Linked DNA regions of Cricetulus griseus. The protein of the gene in region 2 purifies or fractionates together with the protein of the main gene of each other region. This does not show direct contact. Links are inferred from orthologs where the notes say so. Each region holds a gene or a part of one and is shown on either strand. Other genes may lie near its edges.

Region 1 (15,735 bases), on a different chromosome or scaffold from region 2:
CCAGTTGCTAGCCTTCAGTCTTGAAGAGATTTGTAGTTTTCCTGGGCATGTCTATAGCCCTTCCTCAGGCTATTGTTTGAAATCATTGTAATCATTTATATAATCTATTAATAATGATTTCTATATAACAATTCACAGTTCTTAATAAATATTGAAGATATCTAGTAACTTTCAATGTTTTTTCAAAATTGTCAGTTCTTTATAACTTTAATATGGGTTTGTGTCACGGCTCGGGTTGCCCCTCTCAGCATTTCATCAGATCAGGAAGGATTTACTGGCCCTCATACCTGTTAAGTGCAGGCATTGCTACTGGAGTGCTCATCCTCTGATTTGTGCCTCGACCATCACCCTCTAATGAATTCTGCTGGAATTTACTTTCATTTTGTTCATTGTTCTTAATTACTGGTAGCTTTTAAACTCCTTGATAAAACTTGTCAACACAAGTTGTACTATGATTATTTTCTATATCTAGAACTGGAATTTTATATATGCTTCATTGAAGCTGTAGATGAGTTCCTGCCAGGGCTGACATTTGACCTGTGGACTTAGTGGCTTTTGGTCTGCTCTTTTGATTGCATAAGAAATGTATTTTGGTTCAGACATATTACCAGATATCATGTATTTATTCATGAAGCAAAATAAAAAGGACAAAGAGCACTAATTAACTGTCCACTTTCAGTTTTTTTTATGTTATGAAATTAACATATATAATTTTAACTTAGTAAATAATAGTTATTTCAAGAAAAAGTCACAATATTATCAGTGTGTTCATGTTTTCCTTTAAAAAATTGAATTCTGCTAATATACAGAATGCTCTAAAACATAAATGTTACATAAACCAATGTACAGGTAATATTTGTCTTCTAATAACTTCTATTTTAGAGGAGAGGGGCCACTGAAAACGTCGCACGACTTAATTCACTTTCTAGAGGTATGTTTTGTTTTCCCAAGTACTCAGAGAGATAAGATCATGTAGGATAAAGAGAGAAAGGTGGTGGGGGTGCTTGGAAAGACTTCTCTAAGGTGCCTTCTGAGTAGGCTCGCTATTGAAGGGAGAGTTGGAAGGGTATGTGGGGTGAGAACATTTCACAGGCGGAACGAGTGCAATGGCGGTGATACCAGATGCACAGGAAAGATTCAGGAGGCCGTGCAGAGGTGGTGCTGAGCCACAGTGAAGTGGTGGCAGGCATGGCATCTCTGCAGAACCTTACTGTTCTTTTGTTTTCAAGTGTGATGCTGGGGAGTCCACTCAGGGCTGAGAAGCAGGAAATCAAGCATCATGTTGAAGGCAAAGGTCAATGTCAGGTTGGACAGAGTTTGGGGAGTTCTTGGCTTTAATGTGCTTTTACAACTGTGACACTCAGTGAGACAGACACAGCAGCGTTGTGAGAACTGTGAGAGTGTGGAATAATGAGGGATGTAGGGAAGTAAATCATTCAGTGCCCACCGAAGCTAACAGAAAGCTGCTGGTTCCCCTTCCAGGGCTGGAAAAAGTGCAAAGGGAGCTATTTCACCTTGAAATCATGTTAACCAGCAATGGCAAGGTAGTAAGCTGGTGACTAGAAGGTCAAAGTTCACCCTTTCTCTTTCCATATTCTTTACCTAGTTAACTACCAGGACTATTTTTCTTCCTAAATTATTCTGATCTTTGCCTTATTACTGTTGTCAGGTACATCTGCCCTCATCCCTTACTGCTATGGTAGCATTGTAAAAAGGTTTATTATTGTTATTTGTATGCACTTGTACATGAGTGCATGTGTGCACAAATGTGTCTGAATGCCACTGTGCAGCTGTCCTCAGAGGCCAGAAGAGGGTGTCAGGTTTCCCAGAGCTGAAATGACAGGTGGTTGTGGGTAGCTCGGTGCTGGGAACTGAAAGGATAGCAAGTGCTCTTTCCAGCCGAGCCATCTCTGCAGCCCCTGAGGCGAAGTTTTAAAGTGTCTCATGTGTTCTTCATTTTAATGTGCCCTGACTATTACTCAAACTTGTCTGGCCTAGGTTTTAGCTCCTCTCCCTAGTCCTGTTCTCTTAATTGTAAAATGCAAGGTGAACAAACAAAATCTGAAAATTTGAACAAAATCTAACAGTCTGGATTGGTCCTCTCAGATAGCCAGTGTCTGGAAGCAAATTTGGTTATGGATAGGTGGAAGCAGCAGAATTCTAACCTGACCTCATTCTCCAGGATTCATGACTCTTATACTTGAGGATTCAAAAAAAAAAAAAAAAAAGGCTTATTTTTTCACCATTTTCTTTCTACACGTACACAATGCATTTTGATCTTACTCTCCCCCCTGCATTCCTTTCTCTTACCCTCTTTCCTCGCCCTCAGGAACTTGCTTTCCTTCTTCTCAGGTCATGTCCTCCCTACTCTCATCTTTTTTTTTTAAACTCACTATTTAATTGGGGTTGCTAGCATGTGTACAGGTGTGAGGTTATGACAAGTGACCAGGGGCTGCACCCTGAAGAAAAATGACTCCCCTCTGTAACTGGAGATCTTATGAAATGGTTCAGGGATCCCTTCAGAAAGGAATTGTTAATTGTGTGGCTGCGGGTCCCAGGTCTGTGTAGCTCTGCAGAATAACTGGATGTCTCTATGTATAGAGGAGCCTCTCGGAGGATTTTGATTAGCTCTGGGAAAATTTCTGATTTCAGCTAAACCCTGGTGTTTCCCATGGTACAATAAAAAAGTTAGGAGCTCTGGGGCTAATCTTAATGTCTGGGTTATTTTCTAACTCTGTGAGATAATTGGGCATATTTATTTACCAGCCATCCAGAAGACACTGATCTCATTGCTGTTTTCCTTCTCTACCAGGGTTTTGCTGCAGAGGGATTAAAACTTACTTCAAATGTACAGTCATTTTCAAAACAGGTAATGCATGTCTACCTGTCCGGGGCTAGTGATTTCACATACTAACACTGGAATCCTATTACTAACACAAAGGTACATAAGATCTAGGCTAGGCACAAATTCAGAGAACATTCTGTTATGTTATTCCATTTTTGTTACTCTGTTATATTGTGTACATTTTTGTGTGATTATAAATATTCCTTGTGGGGATGGATCTAACCCAGTGGGAGACCTTGTCTAGTATGCACAAAGTCCTGGGTTCTATCTGCAGTACCACAAAAGACAAAATATGACAAATATTTATGATTTGTGGAAATTATACATCATTATCAAACAAATACTGTTTCATGATCTTAGTTTTGTATTTAAAAAATCAAGCACTAAGGAAAAAAGAGAGAGGTAGGTTAGGTATGGTTTAACACTCAAAAGATGAAGACAGTGGTGGGTCTCTATGTGTTTGAGGCCAGCCTGGTCTACATAGTGAGTACCAGATCAGCCAGGGCTACATGTGAGATGCTATCTAAAAGGGTAAAAAAGTATAAAAGATGGAGTTTTGTTGTGGTTGCAATAACTTCCTAAATTACATTTCAGCTAAAAGATGATGACAAACTTATGCTTCTCCTGGAAATAAACAAGCTAATTCCTCTATGCCACCAGCTCCAGACAATAACTAAGACGTCTTTGCAGAATAAAGTGTTCCTCAAGGTAAAGCAGAGGGTGGGTTTTTGGGGAAACACTTGAGAACATTTCACGTCCATCTCCTTATCAGGTTAGTTCCAGCCCTTTGTGCTAAGTGCACAGAAAGCCTGTTTCATGCTTGTCTAAAAGCAGCAGCTCTGTGACTGACCTGGGGGGGCAGTCACCAAAATTAGATTTCAGACTGCAGACTAGTTCCTAGCACTGAGCAGCTACCTCCGAGTCCTTAACTGGTTGTTTTTGCCTCAGGAGTTTGGGCAGAGTGTTAAGAATTGCCAAGTAGGGGGTGCACTGTCAGTGTGTAGAGTGTTTTGAGATGTTCATCATAGCTTAAGTAAAACCCTCTTTCCTGGGGTTCCATGAAATAGGCACGAAATCAAGTAGTCAGTGCTGTGTTCTGGAGCCTCAAAGTACCCTGATCTACACCTTTCAAGATCTCTTAGATTTCCATGACGGAGAAACTTCACCACTGTAAAACCAAATAGGTAACATTTTTGAAGTACTGTTTTTAGAATGACATGCATGCTTTGTAACCACAGGTTGACAAGTGTATTACAAAGATAAGATCCATGATGGCTCTCGTGGTCCAGCTCCTGTCACTTTGCTATAAGTTACTGAAGAAGGTGAGATGGTTTTTTGTATTCAACCTTTTCTTACTAACTTAATGGAAAACAACAGTGTGTGCACTAATACTTTGTAGTTTGTTCTCAGAGCACAGCTCAAGCTAATTGTCTTAACCCTTTCCTCCAGGTGGAAAGTAACAGGTGGGTCTCAGTGACGAAAAAAGATATCATGGATGGTAAAACCTGAGCAGCCTGCAGTTCATCTCTGGAATATCATGTGGCACAGCTGACCTTTTAAAAAAGCAATTGATCCTTTGTTCTTTCAGAAATTCATCTGTTTTCTAAAGAGAATGCTGAAATCTCTCTTTTTTTCCCCTCAGATTAGAGAGCTTAACCACAGTCATTGCTGTGGCAGTTGCTAAGATTCTAATGGCAGTGCAATTTTAAAGTAGACACTGTTCAGAATGTTCCTCAGCACACACCAAATATCTCAACTGTCTTAACGACAGCTGAATCCCAAAGACGCAACCGTGAATGCATACTCCCTTTTGGCACCCTAACTCTTTTATTTAAGCTGATTATCTACAACACTAATTTCAGCAGAAAATAAAAAGTGGCCTGGTTGAATGCAGAGTTTTTCTTAGACCTGTGGACTCTTCTTCAATTCTTGTTGATGCAGGCTAAGGGTCCCTCAAATGCTTGGTCACAGCCTTCCTAGCACTGTTGCTTCTAACAAGCATTTCACCTAGTAAGGTTATTAGGCTACATCTGTCCCTTGCATGCTCCAGAAAGGAAAAATAACAGAAGTCACTCCAAAGAATCCTGGAGCAAAGTCAGAAGAGGAAATGGCTTTTTATTCTAGCTGTAGTATGCATAGCTGACCACATAGTCCTGGATAGTGGCTGGAATGCTAAGTATTTCTTTAGCTACCATTGCAGATGTCAACACAAGCATTCATTCTAAAGCAGTGGAGTAATCTTGCAGATGGCTGTTATAGGGCATGATTGAATGGAACCATCTCCTGTGAAATAAGATTGTTACCAACTTATACAAGTGAAAATTCTGACTACTTTTTAAACTGAGAAGCAGGATGCTAACTTTACTGGATTTCGGTGGAAATATTTTAGCAATAAAGCAGATCCCTCAATAAAACTGTTAAGGGCCACCAGGTATGTGGTAACAATGTCATTATTTTGGTCAACAAAATAAGGCTTATTAATTAGTATTAAACATGGCAATGTACACTTCAATAAAAATTATGTACAGTAACTGAATTCATACCAACTGGTTTAATTTTGATCCATTGAGGTGAGAACATACTGATCAGTAATAAAATTAAAAGTGCCCTTGCAACCTTACCATTTTGTGTCTAGCATGGTTTTTAGTCTGTGAAACAAAACATTCTTTTAACTTGTAATAAAAATAGTGAAGAAAGATACAACTTTGCAACAGATATGGACTCTCAGCATGAGTCTCTGAGAATTTTTCTGCCACTCTAAGTGAGGCTCTGTTGCTGTGTGCTTAATTTTCATCCCATCACCGACACTGTCACTCAGGTTATAAGAACTTTCTCTTGTGAACTAAAAAAATATTTTTGAAAATTTCCTTATAAATATTTACAGAATACCTTTACACACCCGAAAGTATAATTAGGCTCCTGGGGGTGGTGGTGAGGAAACAGGGTAAAATGATGTCAACAGACAAGAGGACAGAACTTACAAATCAGGCTTTCATCTGTATAAAACTACTTTATTTAAAGGAAATTTAGTTTTAATCCCCTCCAGGTTACAGGGAGCTACTTCTTTCTTTTCAATAAACTCTGCTTGGCTGTACTTACAATTATTTCATTAAAAACAGGGAAATGACTGACAGTTACTACATGTTGCGCCCTTTACAAAGTTTCATGATTTAAGGTCTTTTTGTTTTAAATTCAGTGTAAATGTTTAATCTAAAACCAGAACTTCATAGCTGTTTTTTTTTTTCTAATTAGATAATGTAAAACCCTTGCTCTGTGCTAAGACATCTATGCCTCCGCATGACAGACTGACATACCTTCATTACTACAAACTAGCTGTCAATAAAACGTGCACGATAGAGTCACCACTATGCATTAGCAGGAGCCAGCTCCACACTGCAGCATAATTCTTCCATTTCTTAGAAGAGCCTTGTACATTTTCAAAGCATTTCCATGTAGAATAGAAGGCAGACTCCACATTCCTGTTTCTCCAGCAACCTAGAGGGGAAAAGCCACAGCAGAAGGGACAGGGCTGGACTTAATTATTAAAAAATAATTAAGGCAAGGGGCTGGAGATGGCTTACAGATTAATAGCATTGGCTGCCTTTCCAGGGGACCTGGGTTCACTTCCTAGCACCTACATGGTGGCTCACAAACCATCTGTAATTTCAATTCCAAGGAGTCTGATGTCTTCTTTTGGCATCTACAGGCATTACACAAACATACTGCACATGCATACATGTGGGAAAACACATTAAAAAAAAGTTGAGGCAGAAGAAGTAAGTGTACCATAGCATTCAAGCAGGAGCTATGTTAATAGGTACTACTTACTCCCAGGTTATAGGAATGCAAAACTTTTCAAAATATTTCTCAAGAGCTTGTGTTTTTAATCAGAAAAATATTCCTTGTTTGCCATTTGTGTGTGCCTCCTGTTGTAGATTGAAGGAGAAATGTTCCCCATGGTCTCATGTATTCAGAACCCTTGGTCCCTAGCTGGTGGCATTGTAGGGGGCTGTTACAAACTTTAGGATGTAGAGACTTGCTGGATGAAACATGTCACTGGGGGCAGGCTTTGAGTTTATAACCTTGATCCATTCCCACTTCACTGTGCCTCCAGTGTGTGGTGGTCTGATCTCAGCTCCTTGTGCCTGCTGCCATGGACATCTAACCCCCTGGAACCACAAGCCAAGAAAACCTCTTAAGTTGCTTTGGTCATGGTGTTTTATCACAGCAACAGACAGGTAATTAATAGAGACTTTGGTACCAAGACGTGAGGTTGTTGCTGTGAAAAAAATGTGACCATGTTGTTTTTTGGAAGAATTTGGAAGACTGGAACTCTGGGCCAGAAAAATGGTTGAATAATGAGAGCATTGTGAAACAAGATTTTCTGTTCTGAACCTAAGTAGAGGCCTGGCTCCTAGGTTTTGGAGAGAAACAAAGCAAAGTGGCTAGATGCCAGTTTTGTTACCCTTTGACAAAGAATCTGGTTACTTTTTACCCAAGTCCTGAGAACTGACATGAAGCTGAATTTAAGTAATGGACTACTTTCTCTGGCAATAGATATTTAAGATAGTGTAACTTTGACCAATGAAATGAGCATGTCAAGCTAGGTGGCTGAGGCACACGCCTTTAATCCCAGCACTTGGGAGGCAGAGGCAGGCCGATCTCTGTGAGTTTGAGGCCAGCCTGGTCTACAGAAGGAGTTCCAGGACAGGCTCCAAAGCTACACAGAGAAACCCTGTGTCAAGACAACATAAAAAGGGAAAGAAAAAGAAAAAACAAAATGAACATGTCTAGCAAAAATACAAAATGTGCAACATGGAGAAAAGAGCACAAGGAAGTCATGTGCTGGGAAAGACTGTCATTACCAGAGATTAGTGCTATTAAGAAGCCTGCTCTAGGGCTGCAGAGATGGCTCAGTGGCTAAGAGCATGGGTGGCTCTTCCAAAGGTACTGAGTTCAATTCCTGGCAACCGCTTAGTGTGGTGAAATATTATTTATGATTTATTAAAGCCTGCCTGAGGATTCAGGAAGCAAAGTCAGCCACACACCATAGAAGCCAGGCACATACCTTTAATCCTAGCAGTCAGAAGCTAGGAGGTGGTAGTACACACTCAGGATTAAGAGGTAGACTGATCTCTGTGAATCCAAGGTCACCTAGATCTATGCAAGACTGATCCATTCCTAAAGAGAAACAGCTCTCACAAAGATGATCTCAGCACCTGGGATCACATGCCTTTATTCCCAGCATTAGGGAGGTATATAAGACAAGAGCAAGGTGTTAGTATAAGGCATTCATTCTCCATCCACATTGAGAATAGGAACGCCTCAGCCCTTTTAGAGGTAAGAGCTTTCTGGCAGCTTGGCTGCTTTGCTTCCCTGATCTTTAGGCTGAACTCTCATATCTGTCTCTGGGTCACTGATTGTGTTTTTTTGTGTTACCACTTGGTGGCTCACAACTATCTATAATGGGATCTGATGCCCTCTTCTGGAATTCAGGCATATATCCAGATAGAGCATGCATGCATGCATATATATACACATATATTTAAGGAAAAAAAAAGAGAAGTCTGCTCTACACTAGAACAGTGGGACAGCTGGCTAAGGCAAGACTCCACCCAGATAAACCTCCAATCTATGAAAGACAGCCTAATATACTGGCTGTTTGCTCCTAGAAACAACATAACACAAGAGCTGCTGTGGATATGATCAAGTATTTTCCTCATGATATTAGCTTTGGAGGCATAAAAGAATGAACGGATTCTGGATTCTTCCTTCTTTGCTTCAGGAAGCTAGAGGCCAAGCAGCATATGGTAGAGATGGAGTTTCTGCAAGAAGGCCATGAGAGGACACATGGAGCTGGGTTGTAGTGCAGGCCCAAAGACACTGGACATACCAAAGCTGTGAAACATCTTGCCAAGGAGGGTTGCACACAGAACAGAACAATGCAGAAAAATATCTATGATGCAGGCAGCAATGCTGGAGGGGCAGTCAACTAATTCCTTTGAAACCAAACCCGTAGATAGTGGACATGCAGCTGCAGAATTTGCTGGTTTCTGTCTTGCTTTGGTTCAGTATTTCCTCACTATGCCCATCATTCCTTCCTTTTGGAATGGGAACGCATATTCTGTGCCATTGTATGTTGGAAGTATGTAACTGGTTTTTTGATTTACTCAGGGACACAAGAGACTGCATTGAGTCTTAGAAGAGACTTTGGACTTCAGAGAAGGAATGACTATGGTGATTTTTGATATTGGATTAATTGCATTTTGCATGACATGGCTATGGGCTTATAGGGATCATGAGAAGAATGAAGATTGATTTAAAAAAAAAAGTCTTTATGTATTTGAGCAGTTGGTCCCCAGGTTGCAGAACTTTTAGTACAAGAAGTCTTGCTGGGGAATTACATGACTAGGGGCAGTTAATAACCTTACCCTACTTCCAGTTTACTTTCTGCTTTTTGTGTATGGTGGAGATGTGATCTCTCAGCGTCCTGCTCTTGATACCATTCCTTCCTACTAGGGTGGACATCTAGTATTCTAGAACTACAACCCAAATAAACACTTGTTGAAGTTGCTTTTGGTTATGGTATTTTATCAATCACAGACACTGAAAAGTAATACACCTTGAACACATGAAGACCTGAGTTTGGGGTTTCTGGCCCATATAAAAGCTGGGTATGGTGTGTGTACTTGTAATACTAGCCTTGCAAGATGGGAGGCAGAGGTGATGGGTGTCTCCCTGGAACTTCATGGCAAAGTTCTAAGCCAATGAGAGCATGTCTAACAAAAGGTAAAAACTCAAAGTTGTTTTCTGATGTACATATGCAAGCAAACACCCAAAGCAAGTACCTAGGCAAAGTAGATCCTAGAGCTTGACTACAAATGGGGACCAAGGCTTGTGATGTTAAGACAAAGGAGGGGAATTAGGTTAGATGAAGGATTAGGCTTCTCCTGTGGCCATGTGTGAGGAATACTTCACATACACTTGCTTTCTTCAGTGAACTGACGGTTGAGGCCAAGCAGGGTGAGAATCCTTTGCTGTCTCTCCATCTCAGGGCTCATGATGTGGCTGTAGGATTATTTCTTTTTACTATGACTTCTTCATACTGTTGCTGTGTTAGTAACCCTTCTGTTATGCTTTTACTTTCTTCAAATTTGGGCAATACAACTGCAATGTAGCCTTCAGTGGAGGGCTGGGGGGAAACAGAACATTTAGTATTGTCAACTGACCTCTAAAAGGCACATGGACAGCATCATGCTTTCCCCACCTCTCCTTTACCTTTTCTTGAAGAAGAGACGGCTGATGAAGAATATTTTCATTCACTTCCATCAATCGACCTCTAACACAGCTATTTTTAAAAAAGAATTTTTAGAAAAAATTGCCAGTAATTTTTTACTATAGTGAACACGGGCATTTGTGTTTCGGTAGCTAAAACACTGCTTACCTAGATATGGTATATTCTTCTCCATCAGAGCAGTGAATCTTACACAGAGGTGCGAGTTCTGTTAAAAACTGTGCCCCCTGGGTAATGAGATAAAAGAAGCAAATTAACTGTGTTTTCATTTCCCTCTGGTACACCCCTCACTATTAAAACAGGATCTAGTCTTAGAACTGGTGTTTTATAGAAAAATGATTTAAGTGCATAAAACTACTCATGCACTTCAACGTAACAACCTACTATGTGCTAGGTACCATCTTTTAGTGGGTAGTTTAGTTACAGGCTAATGATGTATTTTTCAATTGCAAATGAGAAATCTATATATGGCCAGGTATAAAGATTTCAACCCATACGGTAATCAAATTGCAATCAACCTACAAGATAAAATTCAATACAACATATGGCAGCAATGTTCTACATAGTTTCATTAAGATCCCTATCTTCTATGGGGTGTAGTGGCATACAGGTTAGACAGGGTTATAGAGTTGAGAACCTGTCTCAAAACAAAACCTGAAAATATCCAAAAGATCCCTATCTGTTATATTAGAAATTAGTAGGTAAAGGAACTTCCTTACAGGGTCAACCACTCCACAAGACTTTTTGAAGGAGTACTTTTCTAACTAAAAGATAAAACTAGTGGGCTGGGGAGATAGCGTAGAAGCTAAGACTATTCCCTGCCCTTGAAGAAGAACCAGGTTCAGTTCCCAGCACCCACATCTGGTAGCTCACAACTATCTTTACTTCAGTTCTAGGGGATTTGACAAGCTCTTTCTACCTCTGAAGGCTCCCATACACATACACATGAATAAAAATAAAAACAATATGTTTAAATAAACCCTACAAAGCTAACTTAAATACATGCCTTTTAACCATTTGTGCCATATTTTAGTACACTACTTGATAGCACATATGGTTGTATTAGATGCTCTGGAAGGTGGGTGAATCAGGGGTGTGACAACTATCTATAAGCAGGCAAATGAGAGTGCTTAATGCCCTCTTTTTACCAACTTTTCCTAAAGTGAACATAGGCTGTTGGAGCCAAGATCCTTTCTTGTTTTGAGGAGTTTTGTTATATAGCCTTATCCAGCTGGTACTTACTATATATCTATATAGTATAGAGCTCATTCTTCCGATTGTGCTACCTCAGCTACCCAAGAGCTGGGATACCAGGTAAAGGCTCATATTCCATCTTATCTCTTTAGGAAAGAATGAGAGCACAGAATCTACTATAATAGACATTATACCTCCTGAGTACCTTTTCTTCTTCTTCTTCTTCTTCTTCTCTCTCTCTCTCTCTCTCTCTCTCTCTCTCTCTCTCTCTCTCTCTCTCTCTACAGGGACATACCCGCTTAAATTTCCCAGATACTTTGTTCTGAAGTCTGCTACAGTTGGTACTGATCTGATAGGAAATACTTTTAATAGTTTTGCCACTTTGAAGAACGGGGTGAGATCCTGCCAGCGTGATGACACATATTCTACAAGGAGGAAAAAAGGCAATTCTGTTACTGCATGTGGAGACTTCCTCCTATAACAGTATTCTCATTGAGAGATGACTATCCAACTGACCTTCATTCAGTCCAATTATTATTTCTTTCTCTTGACTGTAATTGTAGCATGAGGAATATAATAAGGGAACAGGAGAAAATAGGATTGAATTTCCTTCCTGGGAAAAGGAACAGTACCACAGGTCTTACGATAACCCTGGGGTAGGTGGGAGACAAGGCATGACAAACCTATTCCATAGGTTTTGGCACTTCAATGGTTGGCACAAGTTGGCTAAATTAGTAAATGACTGAACAAGACTTGTACTTGCCATCACACTCCTATATCAACACAGCAGAAGACAATTGCTTATATCCAGCCCAAGAGTAACCACCAGAAGAAAGTGTTGATAATTTAAATTCTTGGTTTGCTTACCGGTTGGAGTGTTGTAGTATACAGTGGTCCTCACTGGGTTTTCCTTTGACATCTAGAGGAACAAATGAATTGTTGGTTCTTGAATTGGTATCTGCTATTATCATGTGATTACCTTCTTTGGTTCATGGAGATAGTTCATTATGAGGCTAAGACTCATGCTGATGACAGTAGTCAAATAAAGGCTACGGGGTGCTTAAGTAGCCTAATCCAGATAGAATCATTTATTCTATGGTAAGGTTATTAACTCCTCCATCTTGTCACTTTAAAACGAATATACCAATTGTTTCTATTAGAGAAACACTATTGTAAGCACCACATTGCTTACATTGTTTTGTTGTTTTGGAGGGCTTTATTTATTTATTTTGGTTTTTCGAGACAGTGTTTCACTGTGTAGCTTTGCTGCCTATCCTGGCACTTGCTCTATAGACCAGGCTGGCCTCGAATTCAGAGAGATCCTCCTTCCTTTGCCTCCCAAGTGCTGGGATGAAATGCTTGTGCCACCAATGCCCGGTGGGGCTTTTTTTAAAAAAATGGTTTATTTATTTTTATTTTATGTGCATTGGTGTTTTGCCTGCATATTTGTCTATGTGAGGCTGTTGTATCCCCCTGGAACTGGTTACAGGCAGTGGGAACCTGCCATATGGATGCTGGGAATTCAATCCAGGTCCTCTGGAAGAACTGTCAGTGCTCTTAAAGGCTGAGCCATCTCTCCAGCCTCAAGGGCTGTCTTGGAGTTATGCAAAATCACATTTGGGGAAAATTCAGTCCTGAGGAGAGCTGCTTATCCTAAATTTGGCCCAGTCTTTATCTGTTGGTGTGTTGTCCATCCATCAGTTTGCTTGAAATAAAAAGGCTAAAATAGAGGAAGGTTGGAGAAGAATTCCCAAAGGTGGCATCGATATTTTCTGGGCATACAAAAACAGAACACCTGGGTAGCTTACTTCGAAACTACAAGTGGAAAATAAGATCTTAACACTAAATATTGCTTGCTTAACTTCTGTTAATGTTCTCTCCAGCCTAAACTTTCTTCCCGCCTCGGCCTAGGATTGATCCCCACAGGCACACAAACACTAGGCAGTGTAAGCTCAGAAAGACCAACGCCGGGTTCCTTAGTTTAGCTTATGTCCTTTCCTGCAAGCAACCCACACATGGCACTGTGCTTCCCACATCGGATGCGACCATTTTAGTTCTCCAACAGTGCAAACCTGTATTCCTGGAACTAGGAAGCTCGGAGAAGAGCATGGACGATTACATCGTGGAGCAGGAGTCTCCACGGCATCCCGTCCACGCGGTAGGGCAAAGCTCACTATCATTCGCACTTACCCGCTTTATACCAGCGAGTGAAGTATCGATCCACAAGGGAGGGCGCCGCGGGCTCGGTAGCCACGGCTACCTCTGGCCCCGTCAACCCCGCCTCTGGGTACCCGAGCTCTTCCATTCTGCCGGTCCAGGCCAGAAAGATGTACTTGCCGCGTGGTAGCTCTATGCGCAGGCGCGCAGCTCGCCAGACTCTCTCCTCCCCACCCGCCTCCACCCCAGTCTCAGGCACTGTGGGGCCAACACTCAACAGTGGGACAAATACAACCGGGAGCCAGAGGGCTGACGGACAGCAGGCAGCACACAGCACGACCCCACTACTTCTGGACTGCCAGATTAAGCTCCTGAGAGCTACTAAAGAGGTGAGCTCGGCCTACGTGATGACGTCACGCCGACGCGCCTAGCTGGTGACGCCACGCCTAGCGCCGCCTTTCTTGTGCTAGACCGTGGGTTTGGCCCATCCGTGGTTCGTGTCTGTGTCTCCCGAGCACATTGGCGGTTCCGTCCCAAGCCTAGTGCGTCGTGAGAGCTCGGAGCCGCGGACTGAGACGAGGGTGTAGTCCCGCGAGGGCATCTCAGGTGAGCGTTCGCCGGAGCCAGTACGAGCCGCTGCGCGCGGCCTGGTCCTGCCTGTCCAGGACGATCCTTGTGCAAGGGAGATAGATCCATGCGCTTCTGCCTGTGCGTGCTGGCTGGGCGGCGTGGCCCGCCTCTCTCGAGTTTCGGATGCTTTCTGCACACTTGTTCCCTCAGGCCATCCTGGGGCACAGCTCGGGGATGAGGGTCGGGTCCCCCTGCGGCGGGATTTCTTGCAGCTTGGAAATAAAACCTCTATCAGGAATTGGTTAGGCCGCCATGGAAGGGGATAGATAACCGAGGCTGCAGTGCCGTGCTGAGGGCCCTTTATCGAATCTGAGGCTTTTCTGTGGAGTAGTGTATCCCGTGCTTACTTGCTTGGCATGCCTAAGCGGTGATTTCTGTGGTGGCAGTGATTGTGTAGTCTTTTGTCTTCGCGGGGTGGGGGGGGGCGGGTGACATTTTGCAATTTGTGACGCAAGTCACATAACGGATCGTAGGTATTGTATAAAGGATTCGTTTGTATATTGAGAGCTGCGATGATAACCAGTGAATGCCTCAATGTGAAAGTGAGTGAAAAAGAGGCAGACAGTTTTAGCTTGTGGAAACAGGTGACAGTAATTTTCAAACCAGGGTGAGCTGTTTTTTGGTAAAAGAGTAGCAGGTTCTCTGTTTTTCAGGTTGCATTTCATGTGCTTCTAAGGACCTGTTTATGAAAACATCAGGAGATAATGAGTTTGATTTTCAGTTTGGACTTGTTCAGTTACAGCTATGTGTACAGGTTTATTTAATCTTCTTCTTAGTTAGCTACATATTATGTGTCCTATTCAGGATGATTAGCCTGAAGAAGGGTAGAAGAGCAAGGAGGAGAAAAATGAAACAATGATCATAATATTAGGACATGCTCAGTGTTGTACCGTAGGACCCTTAGCACATATGTGGATGGGGAAAAGTTGAATTCATCGAGCTAGGGGAGTTGGAGGGGTTTTTTTTGTTTTGTTTTTTGTTTTTTGTTTTTAATTTATTTATTTATTATATATACAGTGTTCTGCCTGCATGTGTGCCTACAGACCAGAAGAGGGCACCAGATCTCATTACAGGTGGTTGTGATGCTGCCACCATGTGGTTGCTGGGAATTGAACTCAGGACCTCTGGAAGAGCAGCCAGTGCTCTTAACTGCTGAGCCATTCCTTCAGCCCGGGAGTTGGAGTTTTAACAGCGTATGATCCTAGAAGTACTTGGAACATACTCATTTTCTAACTTTGAAAGCATTGAGGAATGCATAGGGCTGTGTTCCTCAAAAAATGCATAGGGCTGTGTTCCTCTAAAAATTCATAGGGCTGTGTTCCTCTAAAAATCCTCACTCCTTTGAGTGAGGATTATGGGTATGACAATTCAGAGAAGTAAGTTTTGATGCTAAAAGGATTGGGGCATTAGGGAGATTAATGGGCTTGCTTTGTACCATGTGTATGAAGTGCCCATAGATGCCAGAAGGGGGCATGGGATCCCCTGGAACTGGAATTATAGATGGCTGTATAGGTGTTGGGAATCAAACTCAGGTCCTCTGGAAGAGTCTGTACTCGTTAACCTGAGCCATCTTTCCAGACCTGAGCTCAGTGATTTTTAAAAACTCAAATTGTTT
Region 2 (15,151 bases):
AACCACCTGTAACTCCAGTTCCAGGGTATCTGACTCTTTCTTCTGACCTCTACAGGCTCTCCTATACACACGTGATATATATATATATATATATATATCTCAAGCACATACACATAAAAATGAAATTTTTAAACAATTTTTAGAAATTTAAAACTGGTATAAAGGCTCAGTGGGTAAAGGCATGTGCTATGCAAGCCCAGTCCCTGAGTTCAAACTCTGAAATCCATGCAGAGATGGAAGGAGATAACAAGAGCACAAAGGAGTCCTCTCGCTTCCACACACATGCCATGCACACGTTCGTACATTAACACTTCCTGACAACCCTGTAGGAAACTGGACAGCTGGCCTGTTCAAAGTCATGTGCTAGTAGGAGCCAGCAAGATGAGACGGCTCAGAGGAAAAAGCACATGCCATGCACCTGACAGCTTGAGTTCCATCCCCAGGACCCACTTCTGAAATAAAGTGTGGCTTACTTTATTAAGAAAGGTGTTTTACTGCTCCTAAAAAACAGTGCTTATGTAGCTATTTTATATGTGACATAATCACTTTATACATTCATATAAGTATAAATCATATACAATTTACTATCATTATTATACATGACTTTTCAGAAGCAATCCTAACAGTCAGAATTACTAAATCTAAAGCAAAGTCATTTTATCAGTCAAAATAAAAATATTTTTAAAAGATGGTTGGCATGACTTCTCTGTGTGACGTGAAAACTCAAATCAGAAATAGGAAGAGCCTAAATTAGAAGTTCCCTTTTTTGACACTTAATGTACTAGGCCACAGTCCTAAAAATTAATTTACCCCAAACGATCTCATAAGGATCCCCACAGTTGGTGAGTGGCCATGTGTAATATGATATATTCACTAGAGAAAGAGTTTTAAGGGATTTGCTTCATCCTGTTTTCCTTTAAAGTCTGTTATACTACCATTTCTTCCTATAACTTCTAAAGATGCTATGTGATAATTCACAGGGATAGGACCATGCAAATTCAAACAGGAAATGTCACATTTTTAAGGGCTGTTCATGTTCTTAATGCAGCCTGCACATCCACACAGTGGAAAACCATAGCAACCTCTTCCTTCTTGTTCTTCCTCCACCTAGACTAGCTGGAGACAGGCCAAGAAAAAAAAAAGACAAGAAAGTAAGTGTGTGTGTGTGTATGTGTGCGTGCACGCGCATTTATCTTTACACATTTAAAATATATGCTTGAATATGCTTTCAGCTGCATTCTGAGGTCCAACATATATTTCCATGATGATCCAGCCCTACTTGACCACTGCTTGAGTTAACACAAAGTATAAATGACACATTATGAAAATACCACTTCACTAAATAACAAAAACAATTTGAGATGGGATAGGGGATGGGAGCATGAGGATTCGAGATGGCTGAGCTGAGGGAGGGACGGAGACAGAGAGTAGGGAAAGAAGTATCTTGGTAGAGGGAGACATTATGGGGCTGAAAAGAAACCTGGTGCTAGGAAGCTCCTGGGAACCTACAAGGCTGACCCCAGCTAAGACTCCCAGCAATAGTGGAGAGGGAGCTTGAACTGGCCTTCCCCTATAATCAGATTAGTAACCACCCTAATTGTCATCATAGAACCCACACCCAGTAACTGATGGGAGCAGATGGAGTGATCCACAGCCAAGCACTGGGCTGAGCTCCTGGAGTTCAGTTAAAGAGAGGTAGGAAGGATTATATGAGCAAGGGGGAGGGTGTCAAGATCATGACTGGAGAAAACCATAGAGACAGCTGACCCAAGCTAGTGGGAGCTCACAGACTATGGACTGATAACTGGGATCCTGCATGGGACCGAACTAAGCCCTCTGAATGTGGGTGACAGTTATGTAGCTTGATCTGTTGGGGGGGGGGCAAGGTGGCAGTAGAATCAGGACTTGTCCCGAGTACATGAACTGGCTTTTTGGAACCCATTTCCTACGGTGGGATACCTTGCTCAGACTTGTTGCCGGGGGGAGGGGTTTGGTCCTGCCTCAACTTGTCATGCTAGACAAAATTTTTTGACTCCCCAGGAAGGGAGGCCTTGCCCTCTCTGAGGAGTGGATAGGGGTGGGTGGGATGGGTGGAGGTGGGGGGCAGGAGAAGGGAGGGTGGGGAAATGGGGTTGGTATGTAAAATGAAAAAAAATTTTTAATTAAAAAAATTTTTTGAGAAGTTAAGAAAAGGTCATTCACATGGAGCCAAGATAACCACGTAAAGCAAAATACACATAAATTTACAAGATGAAGAGATAATGTGACTTTAAAAACTTTTTTAAAGGAGTGGAAAAACATTCAAATTCCACTAAACATGACATGGGATGTTACATAACCTCTATTAGCATTCGTTTTTCTTCTTCAAATGGGAATGAGATGGCTACACACATGGCCACTACCCTTAAGGATGAGGAAAAAATTACCTTCTTGCTAACCCACACATTACAGACACATTAAACTTGAAGAAGGCCACTGAGATGGCTCAACAGGTAAAGACACTTACCTCTAAGCTTGATGACCAGAATCCAATCCTTAGGACCCATAGGTAGAAGGAGAGAACTGACTCCTAAAGTTGTCTTCTGACCAGCACATATATACCTTGGCATACACACATGTACACATACATATGTACATTCAAACACAATAAATTAATAAATGCAATACTAATTTAGAAAAAAACTTGGCTAGATGGCTTGGCAGGTAAAGGTGCTTGCTGTGTAAGCCTGGCAAAGTGAGATGGATCCCTGGAACCTGTGGATATATATTATTTATGATTTAGTAAAGCCACTGGAGATCAAAATGCAAAAAGTTAGCCACAGCAATAGAGAGTCACCTTTAATTCCAGCAGCCATTCTAGTTAGTCATAGAAACTAGGCAGTGGTGGCCACACCTTTAATCCCAGGTCTCCAGGAGACAGAGGCAGATGGATCTCTGTGAGTTCAAGGCCCCCTGAGCTACATGAGAGTGAATCAGTCTAAAGAGTAACAGAGCTCACACCTTTAATCCCAGCACAAGGGAGTGGAGACAGGAGGGTGAAGAAAGGAATATAAAGCAGGAGGAGACAGGAACTCAGGGATTGCGGTCTGCATTGTACTCTGAGGACTTGTGGAGACAGTATCACCCATTTTGGTCTGAGGTAGAGGTAAGAGCTAGTAGTTGGCTGCGCTGCTTTTCTGGTCTTCAGTGGCTTCATTAAATCATAAACAATATATCACCACAGGAACCCATACTCGCTGTGGCATGAGCTCCCTCCCCCAACACAGCTCACATATACACACATGGTGACAACTTTTAAATGGTGGCAATCACCATATACAGAAAGGTGGGGAATGCACAGACTCTCTTCCAGACATTCTCAACAGGTATGAATGCGTGTGCACCTAGAGAGAGAGTCTGAGATAAATCACAGAACATGACTAACATCTTCTAAAATAAATGCCATTAGAAGCTAAGAAGCCCTGTTCTAGATGACTAGCAAAGTTCCTAAAGACCTATAAGTCCATAACTCTTTTACTATTACTATATTTTATTTTGTGTGTGTCTACATGTGTGTACATGGGCATTTGTGCATGCCATGGTGTGCATGTTGAGGTCAAAGGACAATCTGTGAGCACTGGTTCTCTCCCTTCCTCCATGCAGGTCCCAGAGACTGAACTCAGGTCTTTGGGCATGGGGACAGGTGTTAACTTGATGAGTCACCCTCCTGGCTTCTCTATGACTCTTAACAGTGCAAAGCTATATGTGTTGGTATACCTACAGAGGCAAGCTCTTGGAATTACATTGTATAGGAAGATGGATTTGGATAGCTGCACGAATGTATTTGTGTGCTATGAAGGACTTTTCAAGTTGTAGCCTGGGACAGGAAAGATGGTCCAGTGGACAAGGGCAGAATGAGTTCAGATCTCCTGTACCTACTTAAGAGGCCACCTGTGGCTGCATATGAATATGTAATCCCAGTTCTGTGGGGTGTGAGGACAGGAGGCTGTCACCCTAGCCTTACATACAATGGGAGGACTGTCTCAAGGCACTAACTAGGGCAGGAACACCAGACCTCCTCTGGCTTCTGAGTGCACTCACAGCTGTGCGAAAGTGGCCGTCAGTCAAGTGCTCACCACTACCAAAGCTAAGGACTTGATTTTGATCCCCATGTAATGCTGGCATGCAGCGGTGACAGATGGATTCCAGGAGCTCTGGCCAGCCAGCCAGCTTAGCCAAACTGGCAAAGCCCAGCCCAGGTCAGTCAGACACCTTGTCTCGTGCTCCTGAAGAACTCCAAGGTTGACCTCTGGCTCTACACACACACACACACTGCAGCCTGTGAACTTTAAATCCCTGGACCACAGATCTTGCAGAGATCGAAGTAAGTTCTAACCAATTAACTGAACCAAAAGTAGAGTCACTGATGCTAAAACCAACTGTAAACTGCCTTTCTGAGCTCTGAAAGAGCTGCAAACTAAAATGGACCTTGGGTGTGTCATATGTCTAGAAGGGATGTCTGCCATACAAATTATAAGTTGAAAAAGCATGGAAAATGGAGAGAAAGAAAAAATCTAACTGCTGAGTCAGAAGACAGTCAATTCAAGCCCACACACACATTACAATCTTAAATGATTGGTTCTCTATGTTTGAAGTTGGAACTATGAACTAAACATAATTAGGAAAACCACTGTCCTTTAGAATAAGTATGGACATTTGCAAAGGGGAAAGTTTTATTGAAGAATCCAACTCAGAAAAGTCCTAGATCTGTAAATATACACAAAACTGAGTATGCATTCTCTTTTCCCTTTCTTTGATTTAATATAGGGCATCACTACATCACCCTAGAAAGTACTGGCCTCACAATCCTGTCAGCCTTCTCAGTGATTCTTGTGAATTGCACTATGCCAGGTGAGTCTGTGCATTCTTAGGACAAAGGGTTTCAAATTTTTCTTCAGATCCTAAATGAGACCAATGGGTCCAACATAATAAGGAACCCACAAATTTAAGTAAAGCCAACTTTAAAAGATATTCAGCCAGGTGTTGGCTGGCCCACGCCTTTAGTCCCAGCACTCGGGAGGCAGAGGCAGGCGGATCTCTGTGAGTTTGAGGCCAGCCTGGTCTCCAGAGTGAGTGCCAGGATAGGCTCCAAAGCTACACAGAGAAACCCTGTCTCAAAAAAAAATTCATTTATAAAATTTTAAGAAAAGATAATTTCTTAAGTAAAAAAGTGCTGCTACAGAATTGGTATTTAGTGCAAAGCATGAAGAAAAGAAATAGAATATTTTGATATGAAAAACAAAACTCCAACTGTACCATACTGCATATTGAGAAGCAGGGTGTTTCATATGATCAGAATAACATTTATGAGACAGCATAATTCATTTAACCAGGTCACTAGGGTGAGCAATGGGAAATGAACCAAACTGGTGGTATAATACCGCCCTCTGCTGGACTCAACTGGTAAAGATAAACCTCAAAGAATTAGCAAGACAAGTTTAGCCTGACACTACTCTGGGGCATTCTTCCATTAGCAACTTCAGTGTAGTGCTAATGGTGTGCAGAAGCCAACCATGAATGCAGGACAACAGCAGCAGCAAAAATCCGGGGGATTAAGGCTCACATCACAGGAAGGAACCCTATACAGTGCTGCAGGACCAAGACAAACACTTGTTATTGAGGTCACAGGCTACAATGGGGAGTTGTTACTGTTTCATTAAACAGATGTGAGGTATCAACTGATTTCCAAACATTTGTGTTTATACCCAAAGACTGCTGCTGCACTCAGCCTCAATAATGAAAGGAAATTTCTCTTTTGGAAGATGGTTATTGCAGCAACTCAATAGTCAAATGTCTGAGAATAATTGTCTACTGCTGTGGCAATGTGACCCAAGGCTCAGCCAGAAAAACAGAACAATAATCACACATTTACATTGTTCCTCCCCACCAAGGCCTGGGAACATCATAGAGGATGGGGCAGAGGGTGTAAAAGCCAGCAGGAAGAGGAGACTATTGTGTAGCCATTTCCTCTAGATTGAAACATTCTCTCACAAAAGGGACAGACACTTTTGAGGCTCATGTTCAAGCCTAACAACAATACTTGAGCTCTAGGACTTGCATTTTAAGGAAAGAACTGACTCCTGCAAGCTGTCCTGACTTCCACAGGCACATCACACCTGTGACATAGGACACACACACACACACACACACACACACACACACACACACACACACACACACACACCCCTGTGACATACACTATACAACAGGTTCCAAAGCTACAGAGAAACCCTGTCTCGAAAAACCAAAAAGAAAGAAAAGAAAAGGAAGAAAGAAAAAGAGGAAAAGAAACAGTAAACTAACAACACTCAGGAAGCTCACAAAAGTTACAAGACTCATGAGGTTCCCCAGGAGAGACCAGATAAACAGCAAACAAGTTCAGGAAGACAAGAGACACTCAGCTGGGTGCAGGTTGTATAGGGACTCCATGATGCAGCTTTCATGAGTCACCATTCTTGCTGAGGTAGCCTTTTCAGACACAGCTGCCTGAGTCACCTATAAGTAATCCCAGTAAACTTCCTGGCTCACCAAGCTCACTGGCTGGAATCATTAATCATTGCCTTTTTATCTGAACTGAAAAGATGTAGATTTACCAGGAGAGGTAATGCAACAGTATTAATATAGCTGAAAAAAGGCTTTTCTTTCCTTCTTCATACCTGCCAGGTGGTCACGGGCCCTCGGTTTAATCCGTGTTAGAAAACTTATCCTCTCTAAATCTTTTGGGATGAGAATTACCTCCATCCTGAGTCTACCTTCTGAATATGGACCAGCCATAAACCCATCTTTGTTTCTTCTCAAGCAGAAATCTAAGAACAGGAGCATTAAGCAAACACAACTGTCCCCTTTTCATCACAGTTGGGCTAAGATCCAAACATTATCTACATTGTATCCCACTTTGTATCATCCAATTAGCTCATTGTCTCTTTAACCAGTTCTCACCTACATTCCTGAGATGTCTCTGTCAACATGTAAGTCATTCCTTTAGTTGGCAGTTGCATTTAAACTCAATCATAAGAACCCATATTTATTCTTATTATCTCCTCTTTTTTGACTGCTCTTGTTCATAAGCTTTTGTGAGGTAACTATAACATTCAGCATGTGGGCTGCACTCTCAGCCCTGTGCCATGTAGCTCACAGTGAGGGTTCTCACCACACCTTCACTACAAGAAACCATTCAGAGAGAGTGGGAAAGAGTCCTGATGCACATCGAGACTCTCCCTGAACCTCAGTGACACTTGTGTTCCCAGGTGCAGGTGTCAGCAAAGGGCTTCCTCATCTTACCTTTGGAGATTAGGATTTGGGAGGAGAGAAAGTTAAGGCCCAGCAATTATTCTCAACGTCTTTCCTGAGTGGAGTGGTATGTGGCTGACCTTCGGGCCATGCTTAGGAGCACTGCCCACCTTAGCACAAGTCATTCATTCAGCTTCTTTTGGATACAGATAGTCCAGCCAATCACATCTAGGCCCTGCCTGTTTTCCAGCCACTTTTAGGAAGTTATGAGAAAGAAGAGTGGTCCATCAGCCAGCAGGTACTGCTGCCACCATGTTCTACCTTGTTCTGTGTTGTTCTTGCTCCGGCTTAGTGCCCACAGTTCACCCCTGGAGCTCCTAGTCCAGAATCTTACCGAGGTTTGCAATAAGCTCACCAGCTGTTCATTTTCAGAATTATTCACTTTGTCTGCAACCGCTTGGGAAGAGCCGCCTTCTAGAATCCCAGAGGATCACGGGTGGCTGCAGGCTGCTTTAAATCTATCTTGAAATGCAATTTATTAAGCCAGAATGCTTGAACACACTTAGGAAAGCTTCACTTTGTGCAGCCTTCATTTTCCCTAAAATGATCATTCAACTTCTTGCTTTTGAGAAAGATCACATTTCCCTGACAGAAAGGCCAGAAGCAAAGTAGGGGTTTTAGAACTCGGCTTTCTCTCCACCATCCATCTGCAGTGTATGAGCCTTCCAAACAGGCCTGTCCCCTATCCCCTGACCTACACAGATCTCCCTTAGCAATTCTTGCAAGCTTCATTCACTGGATGGGCCAGTTTTCTGGTTGCTATTCTAACAGATCGAAGCCTCCTCCTTAAATCTGCATTAATGTGACTCTGTCATTTTTGGTTTTTTGTTTTGTTTTGGTTTTTTTGTAACTGATCTCAACTTTGCAAAATAAAACTTGATTGTTCAGTTTGAGCAATCAAGCTACTCACAATATTTTTCTTTAGTTTCATAAAAGAAAAAAAAATGCCTCTTCTCCCTCCTCTACCTCTCAACAGGATCTTACTATATAACCTAAGACGAATTCCTGATCCCCTAGTCTCAGGCATACACCTCATTTCTCATTTTTACTCTTTCTAAGTTACTATTTCTTGAGGCATACTTTTCCCATGTTGTCCAGTCTGGCCTCAAGCTCATAGCAGCCACCCTGCCTCAGCTTCCCAAGTGATGCATTTACAGGCATAAATTACCATACTTAGCTTCCCAATTCTTTATGGGGATTTTTCTCTAAACTTTCTTTTATTGATTAGAATAGTTTGGTTTGGATTAAAATCTGAATTTTTGCTTTCTCTGAACTTCCTAAGATTTATAACTTATCTTTTAGCCCAGATGCTTATGCCAGTTTTTTCTTGCATTGTTTGAAATTCACCTATCCAAAATGTATATCCCATGTCCTTCTCCCCACCTCTCAAGAACATAATTCTTTTTTTTTTCTTAATTCTTAATTTTGAGCTGGCAAGATGGTTCAGCAGGTAAAGGCACCTGTTGAGTTCAATACCTAAGACCCACATGACAGAAAGACAAAATCAATTACTGCAAGTTGTCTTGACTTCTACACCTGTATACACACACACACACACACACACACACACACACACACTAAAAAATGTACACACACACACTAAAAAATGTAAAATGTAAAAAAAAATTAAGAGTATTAATTTTTCAAGCTGTAGTCTTTGTAACAATAGCACCAGTGAATATGGTTACAATGCAAATTCCTAGACCTCACCTGACTGAATACATATAAATCTGTGGAATAGTTCTTGGAAAATCCACCAGGTTGGGCTCAAATTCCTGACAACCCTTCTATCTCCGCCTCCTGAATACTGGGATTAGGAACAGAAGCCACTATGCCTAGCTATAAATAAATCTTATGCATGTTAAAAAGTTTAAGAACATTGTGGTTTGAAAGAAAATGACTTCCATAGGGAGTGGCTCTATAAGGAGGTGTGGCCTTGGAGTAGATGTGGCTTTGTTGGAGGAAGTGTGTCACTAAGGGGGTAAGCTTTGAGGTTTCCTGTGCTCAAGCTACTCTCAGTGACACGGTTGCTTCTGCTGCCTTCAGATCAAGATGTAGGACTCTCAGCTCCTTCTCCAGCACCATGTGTGCCTGTAAGCTTCCATGTCCCTCCATGATGATAATGGACTAAACCTCTAGAACTGTAAGTGAGCTACCACTATTAAATGGTTTTCTTTTAAGAGTTGCCATGGTAATGATGTTTCTTCACAGCATTAGAAACCCTAACCAGGATCTAGGAGAAGAAACTTAAAATTTGAAAGTTCTCAAATTATGTACTTTTAGCTCAATGGTATTTTTGTCAACCCAGCTTCTTAGACTGTGGATGGCAACCACATCTGGGGTCACATAACTGAAGGTGGAGGGGTTGCAAGAAAAAAAAAATTGAGAACAAAAATTCATTCAAAACCAACTGTGTAAGGCATTTCTGGCCATGCTTGCTCATGTGCCATCATGCAACTCTTCTGCAACCTCGGTCTGTACACACAGCCTGCCCAGGATGGCCTCAAACTCCTCACCATCCAACTTTCAGACCAAGTGCTGAGATTACAAGTGTGAGCCTCTATTCCCAATTTTGCTTGTTTTTGGTTTAGAAGTTAGAAATGCACAGCATATATTTCACACATGCTCTGAAGTATGCAAATGGCCTTACCTCTCTCACAGACAGCTGTGGTGGGAAGGAAACCGATAAAACCATGCTGGTGAATTCAAACCCAGAGGCTTCAACCTTTTGACACACCTAAAAGAGAATTACAAATATGTAAACTTCCAAGCATTGCTGAAAATGTAGCTCTAATCATAAAATTCCTCCCAGGAGATGACATTGCACAACTCCCCAATATTCACCTAGGAGCTGGGGGCTAAGGCTCAGTAGTGCTGTGTTGCCTAGCTCATGTCAAGCCACTCTCTAGCACCGCCCAAAACAAAGGCAAACAAACAAAACTGATCCATTTGAGCGGACCACTCTTCATAGACATCCTGACATCAGCATTTGATAGTTCTCACCCTACACAAGTGTCAGCTTCAGAACAGTTTGTTGCATGTCAGACAGCTCTTATTAATTTCACAATATGTGATATGACAATCTCAGAATACTTGGTCTTTTCTAATTAAGAAGAGACCAGCAATCAACTGGTATAGGCCAAGTTGAAATGGATGGTACTGTTTAGGACTCGTGGGTATAGGAATCCTAGCTCTCAGGTTAACACGGTCTCTGATCTATGAGAGACAGATTGTTTACCTTTGCTACAAACTCTTTCTCGCAGAACTCTTGAAGGATTCCTAAGCAAACATTGCATACACGCAAATCTGAAGCCTCAGAGGCAATGATTTCATCTTCTGTGGCAGAGCTCCCCTCTTCTCCATTTCCACTCAAATTATCCATTCCGTCTTCTTGAAGACGAATTTTCTTCAGTGGTGGGTTTGGAAGCTCCAAAATTAACTCATCTTTTTCAGTTTCTAGAAATTTCTGTAGATCATTGAACAACTCCTGAAAAGTTAAGAAAAAGCAGTAACATTTTAAAATGGCTTTGAGGTTCATAAGATGAAGTGTGAAAGTCAGCCAGGTGGCAATATGTGTCTTCTTTTTTTAAATTCACAGTGAATGACCTTCCCAAAAGAACTACAAGCCAGATTTGTAAATTGTTGATGGAAACTTTCTACTTAAGATTAGGATTTTAGCTTCACTGATTTGTGAAAATCTTTTGGAAAAACATACACATGTAAAGTAGGCATTTGATTGGTATGTGGATTAAATTCATTAATAATAAATTCAGTCATCAGTAACACATAAGAGATCTGCCTACCTTTGAGCACTGGGATTAAAGGCATATACTGCCCCACCTGGCAATGCCTGTCCTGGGTCCCAGCCCTCTGGTCCCACTAGAGCACTTAGAGGCCATGGCAGCAGAACCTTGTGAGTTCAAGCACCCAGGGCTACATAGTGAGGCCCTGTCTCAAAACAAGGTATAGAGAGGATTATAACAGCACAGACTCATACAACATTGGTTTATATCACTTCAGGAGTAACCAGTTTATTACAGCAGTGGCTTTCTAAGAAATCTGAGAAAATAACCTGTGGAGACGCATTGTGATAGAAATATTTCTAACATTCTAAGAGACTGAAACTTTTGTTGGAACTCAGTCAAAGTTGATAGGGTACCTTGAAGTCACTTCAGACCGCTGTCCTACTGTGTGGCCAGACTATCTGTTTAACCTGTTTTTAGGGGAACAACCAACAACCAACCTCATTTGCCTTGGCTTTCCCAAGTAATCCTCTATAACATAAGCTAATGTGCTCTCTCATACCCTTGACCTAAGAGTAATGCACACGTGTTTGCATGTGTATGATAATCATCTGCTAAAAAATGGCAAATAAGCTAAAAACAGCCTTATAAAATGAATGTCCACCATAAATGCTGAAAGCAACATTCAGCTACTACCTGCTAGTGTTTGCTATCTGGGTCAGTTGGAATTAACTCCTTATAAAATTGTTAAGTATTTCTGTAAAGTATTACTCATTCCTTCTCCATGTGATGATTTCTATGCTGTTCAATAAAAGTAGTAGTTAGAGAGATGGTTCAGTGGTAAGGAACATGTACTATTCTTCCAGAGGACCACTTCAGGTGGCTCACAACTGTGTAACTCCAGCCCCAGGGAATCCAATGCATCTGGCCTCCACAGGCACCCACACACATGGCATACATTTACACACACACAAACACACACACACACACACACACACACACACACACACACACACACACACACAATTAAAAATAAAATTTAAAATATATTTTAAAAAATAAAAGAGAACAAAGCCCTTTGTTAGGAACAAATACACAAGGACAGACACAGATATAGGGATAATAAATTTACAAGACAGCTTTTGGGTGGGTACAAATTCTGGCTCACACGCGAGAGAGACAGAGAATGACAAAGACACAATGAGAACAAAGTAGAGAATTCAAATCTGGGCTCCCTCTTGGTTAAATGACACCAAGGAGAAGAGCTTTGATTTCTGTCCTTAATGCAACACTAATGTGTTCCTGGTGACTTTGAATTTATTACTAACGCATTTAATCCATACACTAATCAAATGCCAATTATATATATTACATATGTGAGTGTTTTTTGAAAAGAATTTCACAAAACAGTGAAGCTAAAACTCTAATCTTAAGCAGAAAGTTTCCATCAACAAATTTACAAATGTGGCTTGTAGTTCTATTGGGAAGGTCATTCCGCTACTAATTTTTAAAAAAAAAGAAACTAATTCAATTCTAATTATTAAAACATAAAAATATAAACTAGGATGCAGATGCAGCTTAGTGGTGGAATCCCTGCTTAGTGTGCATGAAGCCCTGGGTTCCAGCTCCAACAACAAAGAGACAGACAGACAGACAGATACACGCACACAGGAAAGTACAAGCTAAGTTATTTAACACCTCACAGCACAGTGAATTAGTTAATGTGAAACCGCATCATTTAAAGGTTGAGCAAGTAAAGACACTTTTTGAGACCGTTTACCAAAATACATAGATTTGGCAGTGCTAAAATTTAGCACCACAATTATAATCCATTTATATCCATTAAGCCCTCTTCTATATTTTTTCTCTAATTTCTGTTAATTCCTTGTATTAGAATGTAAAAACAAGCCTCCCTTTAAAAAACACTCCAACACTTCTGCTACTCCCCCATCTAAAGCTAAGAATTTTTCTTGGACTTTTTCCAAATCAGGCCAGTTTGACTGTTCAGTTGTAGGATAAACTGTTTGAATTCAGTTAGACTGTACTAACTTAAGAAAATGCTTTCATTCAAACATTAAGTTCACTTTGTTGATGTATTAGCACTCCAATTTTCACAAAAAATTCACACATACAGGTATATTATGACCCACACGAGTGTTGACTACTACCTAACATCTGTAAGATGAGTATAACATAGTATGTACATGTGTGTGCTCATGTACAGCTATGTGACTGGAACAAAACAAAAGTTAAAACATTTCAAAAAAGCCTTCAAATATTTTGTTTATATTTATTCACAAAGAATATTACAAGTCAAAGTTGCCAGCAATCAGCCTCTCTCTCTCTCTCTCTCTCTCTCTTTCTCTCTCTCTCTCTCTCTCTCCAAAATGTATTTTGAATCCAGTACATATATATATATAGTGTGGCATGTGTGGAAAAAGTATATAAGGAAGACTACACAAAGCTGGACATAAGCTGAGCATTTACACACATAGCAACTTTCACTACATATGTGACACGTCTGGTTTCCATTTGCTTTTACTTTCACATACTAAACAGATCATGTCCTTAAAACCTTGTGAAGAAGATCTTATCACCATTCCCATGTACAAACAAGTAAACTGAAGCTGTGCAGTGGTGGAACTGAGAGTCAATTCACGTCTTCTAGCTCCAGTCCTAGGCTCTGGATTCAGACACAGTGTTCAATTCCTAGCTTGCTCATTTAATAGCTGTTTAACTTTGGGCAGGCTGCTTAACTTCTCTATGCTTCAGTCGCTTCATCTGAAAATAGAGATAATCACTGCATGTACTTACAGAAGATTAAATGAAATCTTGACATGTAGTAACACACTAGACAAACACTAGGAACGATTGTTATTTCTAACATAGTAGAAACAACACAATGATATAGAAAACAATAGTAATTGCTGCATCATTTATTACCAATTTTTAAAATAAATTGAGGATGTGTGTATAAATGTATATATTTACACATGTATACAATTATTTGCCTTTGAAAAGAATGTCACTGTTAGTATCAACCATATGTCACAGGCATATCCTATACTTTAATGTGAAGATAATCTATTCAACAGCACAGCTCTCTATGTGTTAATGTAAATGTGGAAAATTCTGAAAGGTTCTTGTGTTGCTAGTATCAGGAATAATGATTACGCTAAGCACTTACTTTTAAAGGCTTTCTGACACAGCCAGCTATCAAACAATATTCCTGACGATGCAGGCTGCAGGTTGTGGATGGTGGGCCCTAGATTACACTGCCTGGTACACTGCATCTTCATTTAAGTATACTCCATGAGGTTCAAACAAGCATAAAGTCATCAAAGGACACATTATCAGAACATATCCTCTTCACTGAATGAAACAAGTGGTAGGCTGGGGACATGGATCAGTGCCATGATTCACTGGCACATGTGAAGAACTGGGTTCAATGCCCAGCACCAGAAGAATACATATGAACATATACACATAAATGCTAATGCATGGCAAGGGAAATAACCAAGACAAGCAACACGGCCTGTTGCGTAAAAGCACTTGGCACACAAGCCTACTAACCTGCTTGATTTCCCAAGGTCTTTGGTGGAAGGAGAGAACTAACTTCCACATAAACATCTGTGTGAGCAAGCAGACATACACACACGCACACACACACACACTGGCGTGCACATATACACCATACTCATATATATGCACATACTCATAAAAATAATATAAAATTTAATTTAAAAAAAGGAACCAAACTCATTTTCTATTTAAAAGAAGCAACCAGGACTATGACCTGCCCCCTCCTGTTGCACAGCATTAATGTCAGGTAAGACCCATTCATTATCTTGTGTTATTTTGTTTATATGACCTTTATAAAATGTCTATACAAATAATGAATATAGCAAAAAATTCCAGCAAAGATCCCGCTCTACACTAACTATTAAATGGCAATGTAATAAAAAACAACTGTATTACTACATCAAATGTTTAAGGTAACTGCAGTTCCAAAATTACCTTAGTAAGAATAGTTTTATTAATTTTCCTTCTTTCGACCACTATACCCAAAGCTAGTGTCA

What was found.
Region 1: the proteins of Pus10 (region 2) and Abitram purify together in Homo sapiens (affinity purification with mass spectrometry; 3 studies listed by BioGRID and IntAct, counting the BioPlex papers as one, with this or other methods). This does not show direct contact. The link is inferred for Cricetulus griseus from reciprocal best matches to the Homo sapiens genes PUS10 and ABITRAM.

What each region holds. Positions count from the first base shown.
Region 1 is NC_048595.1:87,073,750-87,089,484, forward strand, and holds Abitram (protein Abitram), read right to left. Parts: upstream 13,669-15,735; 5' UTR 13,639-13,668; coding exon 13,524-13,638; intron 12,253-13,523; coding exon 12,201-12,252; intron 11,759-12,200; coding exon 11,629-11,758; intron 10,367-11,628; coding exon 10,290-10,366; intron 10,194-10,289; coding exon 10,124-10,193; intron 10,038-10,123; coding exon 9,903-10,037; 3' UTR 9,416-9,902; downstream 1-9,415. Other genes in the region: Ctnnal1 (alpha-catulin), read left to right, coding at 883-931, 2,813-2,869, 3,440-3,553, 4,084-4,167, 4,295-4,354. UniProt on the Homo sapiens protein: Actin-binding protein that regulates actin polymerization, filopodia dynamics and increases the branching of proximal dendrites of developing neurons.
Region 2 is NW_023276807.1:83,093,680-83,108,830, forward strand, and holds part of Pus10 (tRNA pseudouridine synthase Pus10), read right to left. Parts: intron 10,817-15,151; coding exon 10,568-10,816; intron 10,067-10,567; coding exon 9,980-10,066; intron 1-9,979. UniProt on the Homo sapiens protein: Protein with different functions depending on its subcellular location: involved in miRNA processing in the nucleus and acts as a tRNA pseudouridylate synthase in the cytoplasm.